Linked DNA regions of Caenorhabditis elegans. The protein of the gene in region 1 interacts with the protein of each later gene in a pairwise test. Each region holds a gene or a part of one and is shown in the gene's direction. Other genes may lie near its edges.

What was found. Proteins that work in one complex are often made in the same cells at the same time.
Region 2: the proteins of twk-37 (region 1) and mek-1 interact in a two-hybrid assay, tested with the Caenorhabditis elegans proteins (one large-scale study listed by BioGRID).

What each region holds. Positions count from the first base shown.
Region 1 is NC_003279.8:6,268,906-6,273,166, reverse strand, and holds twk-37 (Potassium channel domain-containing protein), read left to right. Parts: upstream 1-1,633; 5' UTR 1,634-1,656; coding exon 1,657-1,685; intron 1,686-1,731; coding exon 1,732-1,791; intron 1,792-2,111; coding exon 2,112-2,296; intron 2,297-2,344; coding exon 2,345-2,439; intron 2,440-2,494; coding exon 2,495-2,581; intron 2,582-2,659; coding exon 2,660-2,789; intron 2,790-2,904; coding exon 2,905-3,070; intron 3,071-3,152; coding exon 3,153-3,411; intron 3,412-3,468; coding exon 3,469-3,606; 3' UTR 3,607-3,747; downstream 3,748-4,261. Other genes in the region: C10G11.8 (AAA+ ATPase domain-containing protein), read left to right, coding at 1-888, 930-1,154; oac-9 (Nose resistant-to-fluoxetine protein N-terminal domain-containing protein), read left to right, coding at 4,134-4,261.
Region 2 is NC_003284.9:7,477,625-7,481,534, forward strand, and holds mek-1 (Dual specificity mitogen-activated protein kinase kinase mek-1), read left to right. Parts: upstream 1-1,623; 5' UTR 1,624-1,631; coding exon 1,632-1,815; intron 1,816-1,864; coding exon 1,865-2,097; intron 2,098-2,147; coding exon 2,148-2,291; intron 2,292-2,346; coding exon 2,347-2,658; exon of another isoform or gene 2,659-2,784; coding exon 2,785-2,955; 3' UTR 2,956-3,381; downstream 3,382-3,910. Other genes in the region: F48E3.9 (Trichohyalin), read left to right, coding at 3,847-3,865. UniProt on the Caenorhabditis elegans protein: Dual specificity protein kinase which may phosphorylate kgb-1 and thereby is an essential component of the JNK pathway composed of mlk-1, mek-1 and kgb-1. May also have a synergistic role with sek-1 in phosphorylating pmk-1.

The sequences.
Region 1 (4,261 bases):
CGTCAAACAAGCCGTCATGGTCGCCCTCTTGCTGTCCAAAAACGTCGTGAACAGCAATTAGTTCAAAGTCTCCGAGGAACTCCAACCACATTGGCTCGTGTCCACGAGCTTTTCGATGATGAGAAGCATGCCGTTGTGGTCGTTGAAGGTTCGAGACGTGAATGGTACGTACCAATTCTCTCGATCGTCGACAAGGACTTGCTTCGTCTGAATGCCCTCGTCATGGTGAAGGCTGGTGGAATGTTCAAAACAGTTCCAAGTGCAATCGTTGGAGTTTTGGATGACAAGATTGACAGCAATGCGATGGGACATAAAGTTGAGAAGACACCAAAAGAGACATTCGATGACATTGGAGGATGTGAGAGTCAAATTCAAGAGCTGAAAGAGTCTGTGGAACTTCCTCTTACTCATCCAGAGTACTATGAAGAAATGGGAATCACTGCTCCGAAAGGAGTTATTCTTTACGGTGAACCTGGAACTGGAAAGACGCTTTTGGCGAAAGCAGTTGCAAACTCAACATCTGCAACATTCATCCGTGCAACTGGATCCGATCTTGTTCAGAAACAAAGTGGGGAAGGTGCTCGTCTTGTTCGTCAAATCTTCCAAATGGCAAAGGAACAGGCTCCATCGATTGTATTCATTGATGAAATTGATGCAGTTGGTACGAAAAGATTTGATACTTCTTCACGTGGAGAACAAGAAGTTCAACGAACTCTTCTTGAGCTCTTAAATCAATTGGACGGGTTTGAAAGCCGTGGAGATGTCAAAATTATCATGGCAACGAACAGAATCGACTCGCTGGATCCCGCTCTTATCCGTCCTGGACGAATTGATAGAAAGATTGAGTTACCAAAACCAGATGAGAAGACTAGACAAAAGATTTTCACGGTTAGTCAATTCAACATTTCTTAAATAATTTTTATTTTTAGATCCACACCTCTGGAATGACGATTCAGAAAGCTGTCACCTATGAGAATGTATTGGGAAAGGAGAAGAGCATTAGTGGAGCTGAAATCAAGGCGGTTTGCACGGAAGCTGGTATGCTGGCTCTTCGTGCTCAACGAAAATGTGTCGGAACGGATGACTTTGAGAAGGCTGTCAAATCGGTTATGCTGTCGAAGAAGGGCGGAGCACCAGAAGGATTCTTCTCTTGACAATCGGAAATTCAATAAAGTACAAACGAGTTTACCCTAATGAACCTTTCTTCTCTTACAATGCCAGTGCAGATGTTTTTATGAACATCTGTAGTTAATTTCTTTGGTCTTTCTATGACCATAGACTGTTTGTTTTCGTAGTTTCTTTCCCTTCCAGAGCCTCAATTTGAAGAATTATGTTAACTTGATCCGAGGCGTTTTGAATACCGATCTCGAGTATAAATATTTTATTGTTTCAATGTGTTACTGTTTAACACAAGATGAGATTTGTCGTATACACTCAAATAGATACAAAAATAAATATCCAAATTTGTTTAAAAAATTTCAAACTCATTGAGCTCGCCAAGTTTCTTGAAAAAATTGTTTACGTACAGTTTTAAAAATTATAAAATTATTAAATACCACCATAACCAAGAAACGTGATATTTTCTGAGATGGCCAAAACTATTAAAAATCGATTTTTTAAAAGTCAGTTCTAATTTTTGGAGTCAATATCGTCCCAATGGTAGCATCAAATAGAAGACAATCGAGGTTTGCAGAATCATTGTTTTCATCTAAAAAAAACTACATTTTTCAGTTCAGATTCAATACCTTCAAATCAAAAATCACACAGCTCTAACCATCACACTTCTAATAGGTGAGTATAACTACAATCCACAGAAGAAAATTAGTTTGTAACCCACATGCTCGACATTTCGCTCCGTGCGATTGAAAGCTGGGAAATCGCGAAAATCTGCGACGATCTACGATAGCATGCGAAGAAATGCGCGGAAAATTCGAAACTAGGGGTAACCCGCAAAGATGTGCGACAATGTGCGAGAAAAAGCTGAAGCAAAATGTCGAGTTTCTGTATTATCTACACCAGGAAAATATAAAGACGACAGAATAGCTGTCAAATCTTCTCAAACAATACCCACTGCTTCACCACTGTCAATCCAAACTGCAATAGTCTTTCAGCGATGGAATGCAAACTCACACGGATCGACTTATTAATAAATTTATAAAGAGGCAAATGGAAAAATCTTCACCAGAAACTCAACATCTTGTCAGAAAGCAATCTATTTTAAAATTTGTTGAACGAAAGTCTAGAGCGGAAAGACCGAAGCCAACGAAATTACGAACAATTTTGAGAAAGATTCGAAGTGAGGATTTGGTTTATATTCTGCTTAAAGTAATGTTTCAAATTTCAGAATTTAATACAATAATTGCATTTGTGGTTCTTGTTGCATATATAATTGGTGGAGCTCTCTTGTTTTGGCAGATTGAATCGAGATCTGATATGAATGTTTGTAAAGCTTTTGTTTCTGTTGCAGATATATATTCATTGATAATATTTTCAGATTAATGAGTTCAAAAGAAATATTCGTCAGAAATCAATACACATCTACAATTCAATGAAAGGTAGCAAGTGTGGAAAATTGAAAAAGGTTTGTGAAAGTATTTCTGCATCTCTTTCAATTGAGCATACCCGGAAAACGCCTCGATACAATTTTCATCTATTTCAGGCAGATAATGAGTTGAACAACAATTGTATAAAAGAAATTTTTGACCTACTCTACGCTTCAAACCCTCCAAAGCATATAGAAGAGTTTCTGGATGGGCTGGCTTATGTAATCACTTGTATTACGACAATAGGTATGACTCGGGATTAACAAGTAAAATAGTATCAAAACTGATTTCGAACATTTTGAAAAATATTTTTAAAATTTTCTCCCGAGGTGTCGTCTAATCATTCTATTTTCTATTTCAGGGTACGGCGAACTTGTCTGTCACACAATTGCCGGTAAATTGGTTACTGTAGCTTATGGTATTATAGGAATTGCTCTAACACTCTACGTACTTCGCAACAATGGAAAAATAACGTTGAAAATATGCAATTTGACACTCAAAATTTTTGCAATTTGCGTTCGAAAATGGTAATTTAACATTTAAACATAAATAACCTCTTCTCAACTTTCCATATAAAATCTTTATTTGAGTTCATTATTTAGTTTTCAGTGGCAAAAAGTCGGCAAAGTATAAGATGACAGTACTGAAAGCTTTTATTCTTCTTGTCACATTTTGGGGCTTCGGAGCACTTGCAATTGCTGTCTATGAGGAGTTTGTATTCTATGATGCCTTGTACTTTTCTTTCAGTACATTTTCAACTATTGGATTTGGAGATTTTGTTCCGTCAGGTCATATCTCTGGAACTATTATTTGTGTATTACACTTTATCGATTTATCACTGATTTCAATGGTTTTAGTTCTCGTTCATGTAAGCTGTGAAGATTCCCTTGTAAGAAACCAAGTGTCTAAAGTTTACAAATTTCAGCATTCGATGGAAAACAGATTTATGAGAGTTTTGGAGCTCTTCGATGAACGGCATGCTACCGACACTTTAGAAACAAATATGATATCACCTGGTGCTTCTCAACGGAAACTTGCTGCAACGACTACAGCGAAGGAATGATTTCGATCCAGTGATCATAATTGATATCAGATTATTCTCAAAATTTAAAATATCTCTTTGCTTATTACAATTTTTATTGATATTCTTTTTGTGGTTTAATTCTTATTCTTTTTCGTCATTAAGAGAATGAAGAAATTACAAAAAGCTTCTTTTTTTGCACAATGAAAGGAAAAAAAAACTGCCCATTTAGAGATTTAATCCGGTAAAGGCTTGACAGAGGCGCCTCACACCCGCCTTTTTATTTGACCTCCCAGCGCCGTACCTATAACCTCATGTGCAATTTCTCGTTACGGAGTTAATTTTAGTAGCGCATTCGTGAATAACCTATTTGGTAATTGAATTTTTAATCTCTCAAACAACGGTGTTTGTGGCTAGTTAAAAAAAATTTATTGTTCTTTTCTTTCTGAAAATTATTTTCCAGGAATACGTGCAGCTCACGCAAATACCGTCATTTGTGAAAACGCAATCATTAATTATCAAACAATTTATTTTCGATTATCATTTGTGAAAGTTTTCCCATGAAAACAATGAATCTCGTCTATTTGATACTTGTCTCGTTTCTACCCTCATCAGCCTTCGTCAGCTGCTCATTTACCAAGTCTGGAAAACAAATTCTTCAACAAATTTTTGAAGGCGATAAAGACAATCACACCAA
Region 2 (3,910 bases), on another chromosome or scaffold:
GCAATTGCTCTGACCAGTTTTTTTTTGTTCTATTCTCTATATCTAGAAACATTAAGCATTAATTCAACATATCATGAACCATCAAGATTTGACATAATTTTGATAATTTTCCATCAACTCAGTCGCCGACAAACAAGTTAGAGGCTCCCAACTCTGCACCTTGTGAGATGAGTCATGCAACAACTGGTCCATATCTGATTTAGTGTAACGACCACAATGCCACGATGACTAGGCTTGATTCTGCATTTGTTATTTATGGAATTCAAGACATTTTGAGATTTTTGCATTTGGTGTTCTAGCATTTATCTGACTAATTAAAATCAGAAAATGTTTTCACCTCGTTGTTTTTCAGAATTTGACTTTCCACATTTTCCAGCACCGCTTTTAAATATAAAAAAAAATAGTTTTTATTTATTTGATTGGGTCTCCTCATTTATTAGAAAAAATGTCGAAATTCTTGTTTGCGTCTTCTCAAATACATACAATAGTATTCTCAATGTTATCTCCTAATTTCGAAATCGATGGTTTCTCAATTACGAAATATTAGGAATTTTCCCACTTTCCGCGACACTATTATTTGCCTTTTTTAACCGCAATTCGATTACATTATTAGTGGTAAACAATCTTTTCTCTGAATTTCCAACGTTTTTTTTGTTTTACAAAAGAAACTATATAATAGTTGCTGTCCTCACATGATGATCAATGTTTTTTATCATTATCAATCAGAAAAGTCCCAGCTTTTCTTGACTTTTCCTTCAGAAATTATCATATCACAATTTGTTTGTTTTCTTTTTCTCTCTAACACTCTTACTCTATTCACTCAACAGTTCAATGCCGGAAATTCAAAATAACCAAATCGTTTTGACATAAACTTCAGTTCAAAGTTGACCTATCGCAAAAACAGGTCGAAAACAAAAAAAAATGGGGAACGGACCGCCAATGTTTTGAAACGGAAGGGGGGTGCGCACGCGGTCGCGTCGCGTGCCCGGTGTTTCAACGTAACTCTTGCACTTATTTACGCAGTGTGTCTCACTTGTGTGTGTGTGTGCCGTTCGTTTTTTCTCTCCCTTCCCTCCTCCCTCGCCGCATTGGAATTGCGACGGCGTCAATGCGGTCTTGCCGCTTTTCGAGACATTTTTGCTGCTGTGATGCCATGTTTTCACCATGATGTAATGCAATTTAATCCTCATGGCAAGAATGAAAAGTAGTTCAAAACGTTGCCTTTCTCGTTTTGGCAGCAGCTCTTTCTCATTTGATCCCCTCGTCGTATAAGCTAATACGCTTTTTGTTTTCAGCTGCTATATTCAGCCAACACAAAAGGCAAGAGCCTTTCCATTGACGTAAACGAGGCTTGTTTGCAACAACATCATGCATTCTAATTTCGTACATGAACTTTTCGAAAGTGCATTGAGATGAGAGTAATGATGAGAGCAAAGACATTTTCTTATAACTTCCCCTATTATTTATATGTATAGCCACTCTCATTCTTAGAAATGCTAGTGCACTTCTTTTCGTGCCCCAACAATTTATATTTTCATCCTAGAAATATAAATTCAAAATTTTGATTCTTCCTGATATTTCTTTATCTCTTTTTTTCTCTGTACTAAAAATAATAATTTTAAGGTGAAAAGATGGAGAGAGACTTCGACCTTGGCATGGGCAGACCTGGCGGGCTCGGAGGACTTGGTGGTGAACCGATCATGCAACAAATGCCACAGCCAGCGCCTCATCATCCATCCCGTAGTAGTAACGACCACAATGTGAAGAACCTCATGAAGCAGGCCGAGGAGAACTCCGGATATCTCACATTGCAAGGTAATTTGGCTAAATAAATAATCTTGAAACGGTAACAATTGATTTTTAGGTAACCGTCGTAAAGCTGACTTGAAGGAGCTTCAGTTCGTGGAAGATATTGGTCATGGAAGCTGCGGTACGGTCACAAAGTGCAGATACAAGAGTGTGATCATGGCTGTGAAGACGATGCCTCGGACGTCAAACAGTTATGAAATGTCCCGCATTTTGATGGATCTTGACGTCATCTGTCTCTCTTTCGACTGTCCGTACATTGTACGTTGCTTCGGATACTTCATCACCAACGTAAGAATTTTTATGAATTCTTTGACTTTTCCAATTATCATTTTTTTCAGTTCGACGTCCGTGTCTGCATGGAGTGCATGGCTACTTGCCTTGACCGTCTGCTTATCCGCATCAAGCAGCCAATTCCAGAGAGAATTATTGGAAAGTTGAGTGTGAGCATCATTAAAGCTCTGCACTACTTGAAAACCAAGCACGTAAGTTTATAAATCAGATGAACCATTTGGACAATATATAATCCGATTTTTTTAGCAAATCATGCACCGTGATGTGAAGCCATCAAACATTCTCCTCGACTGGAGTGGCGTCATCAAGCTTTGCGATTTCGGTATTGCTGGCAGACTGATCGAGTCTCGTGCTCATTCGAAGCAAGCCGGATGCCCTCTGTACATGGGTCCTGAGCGCCTCGACCCCAACAACTTTGACTCGTATGACATTCGCAGTGACGTGTGGTCTTTTGGTGTTACTTTGGTCGAGCTGGCAACCGGACAGTACCCATACGCCGGAACCGAATTCGACATGATGTCCAAGATTCTCAATGACGAGCCACCGCGCCTGGATCCGGTATGTGCTCTTCGTAAAAAATTCATCTAGAAAAAGCTTTTAAGAGCTACCAGTAGACATAATATATGCTTTATGGCGGCTAGAAACAGTACACAACTAGTATTTATGTATTTTACAATTTTACAGGCCAAATTCTCTCCGGACTTCTGTCAACTCGTCGAGAGCTGCCTGCAGCGTGATCCAACGATGCGTCCCAATTACGATATGCTCCTCCAGCATCCGTTTGTCGTGCATCACGAGAAAATTGAAACCGACGTCGAGGAGTGGTTTGCCGATGTGATGGGCGAGTGCGGATAATTGTCGAATTACAAACGTATTGTTATTTCCCAAATCATTTGTAAAAACTATCAATCCCATTCACTATCTCTTTCATAACATTTCCTGGTCTAGCATTCATGGTGCAAAGTTTTTCAATTTTGCTTTTTTACCTTATTTACCCTATTTACCACTTTTACCCTATTTTCACTTGTTCTCGTTCCCGTTGTCTCTATCAAAAATTCCCAACCTCTCTCACCGAATCCCTGTCTACCAAACTTGAATGTTCCGGATGTATAGTATCATTGTAGGCCTAATTGATTGTATATTTTGATTATGATATGTCTCAAAGTTAAGCCATCCACAGCTAGTCTTCTCGTCAGAGATTACTGTGGACATTAAAATTGTGATTCAAATTGTTCAACGGATATTGTTGTAATCTTATATATTTAAATACAGTCTATGGACCGTTCGTTTTTTTACAAGTTTTGAACGAAGCGTTACAGAAAGAAGTAATCAAATTCCAGATCTGTAGAAACTAGCGAGTTAACAGGTAATCGGAACTATGGTGTCTTGAACAATATTTGAAAGTATTCGAAATAGTGTACATATTTTGTGAAACTAAATACTATCAAACGATATCCTACTCAACTCTGAAATGTTCATACAGTGTATTAACACCTGCGCGACAACGCTTCACCTCTCTCATTTAAATGAATCCAAATGATTAGTCGCTGGAGATTATTAGGATATGCTACTAACGGAGCTTTTAAATAATGGCGGGTTCTCCCTACCCGCGTCACCATAGAAACCGAGCGGACTCGTGCCGGCTGGTGTTCTCCCTTCGTCCGCCTTCCGCGACTCAACTCATTTCCGTGTCTCCTCTAATATTTTCCAACGACCACATCTATATCTATTGCTTATCTCCAATAAATGTCGTTGGCAATTAAAGGTAGGTATTTTTATAGGTATTGTTTATTTGGTAGTTTAAGCAATT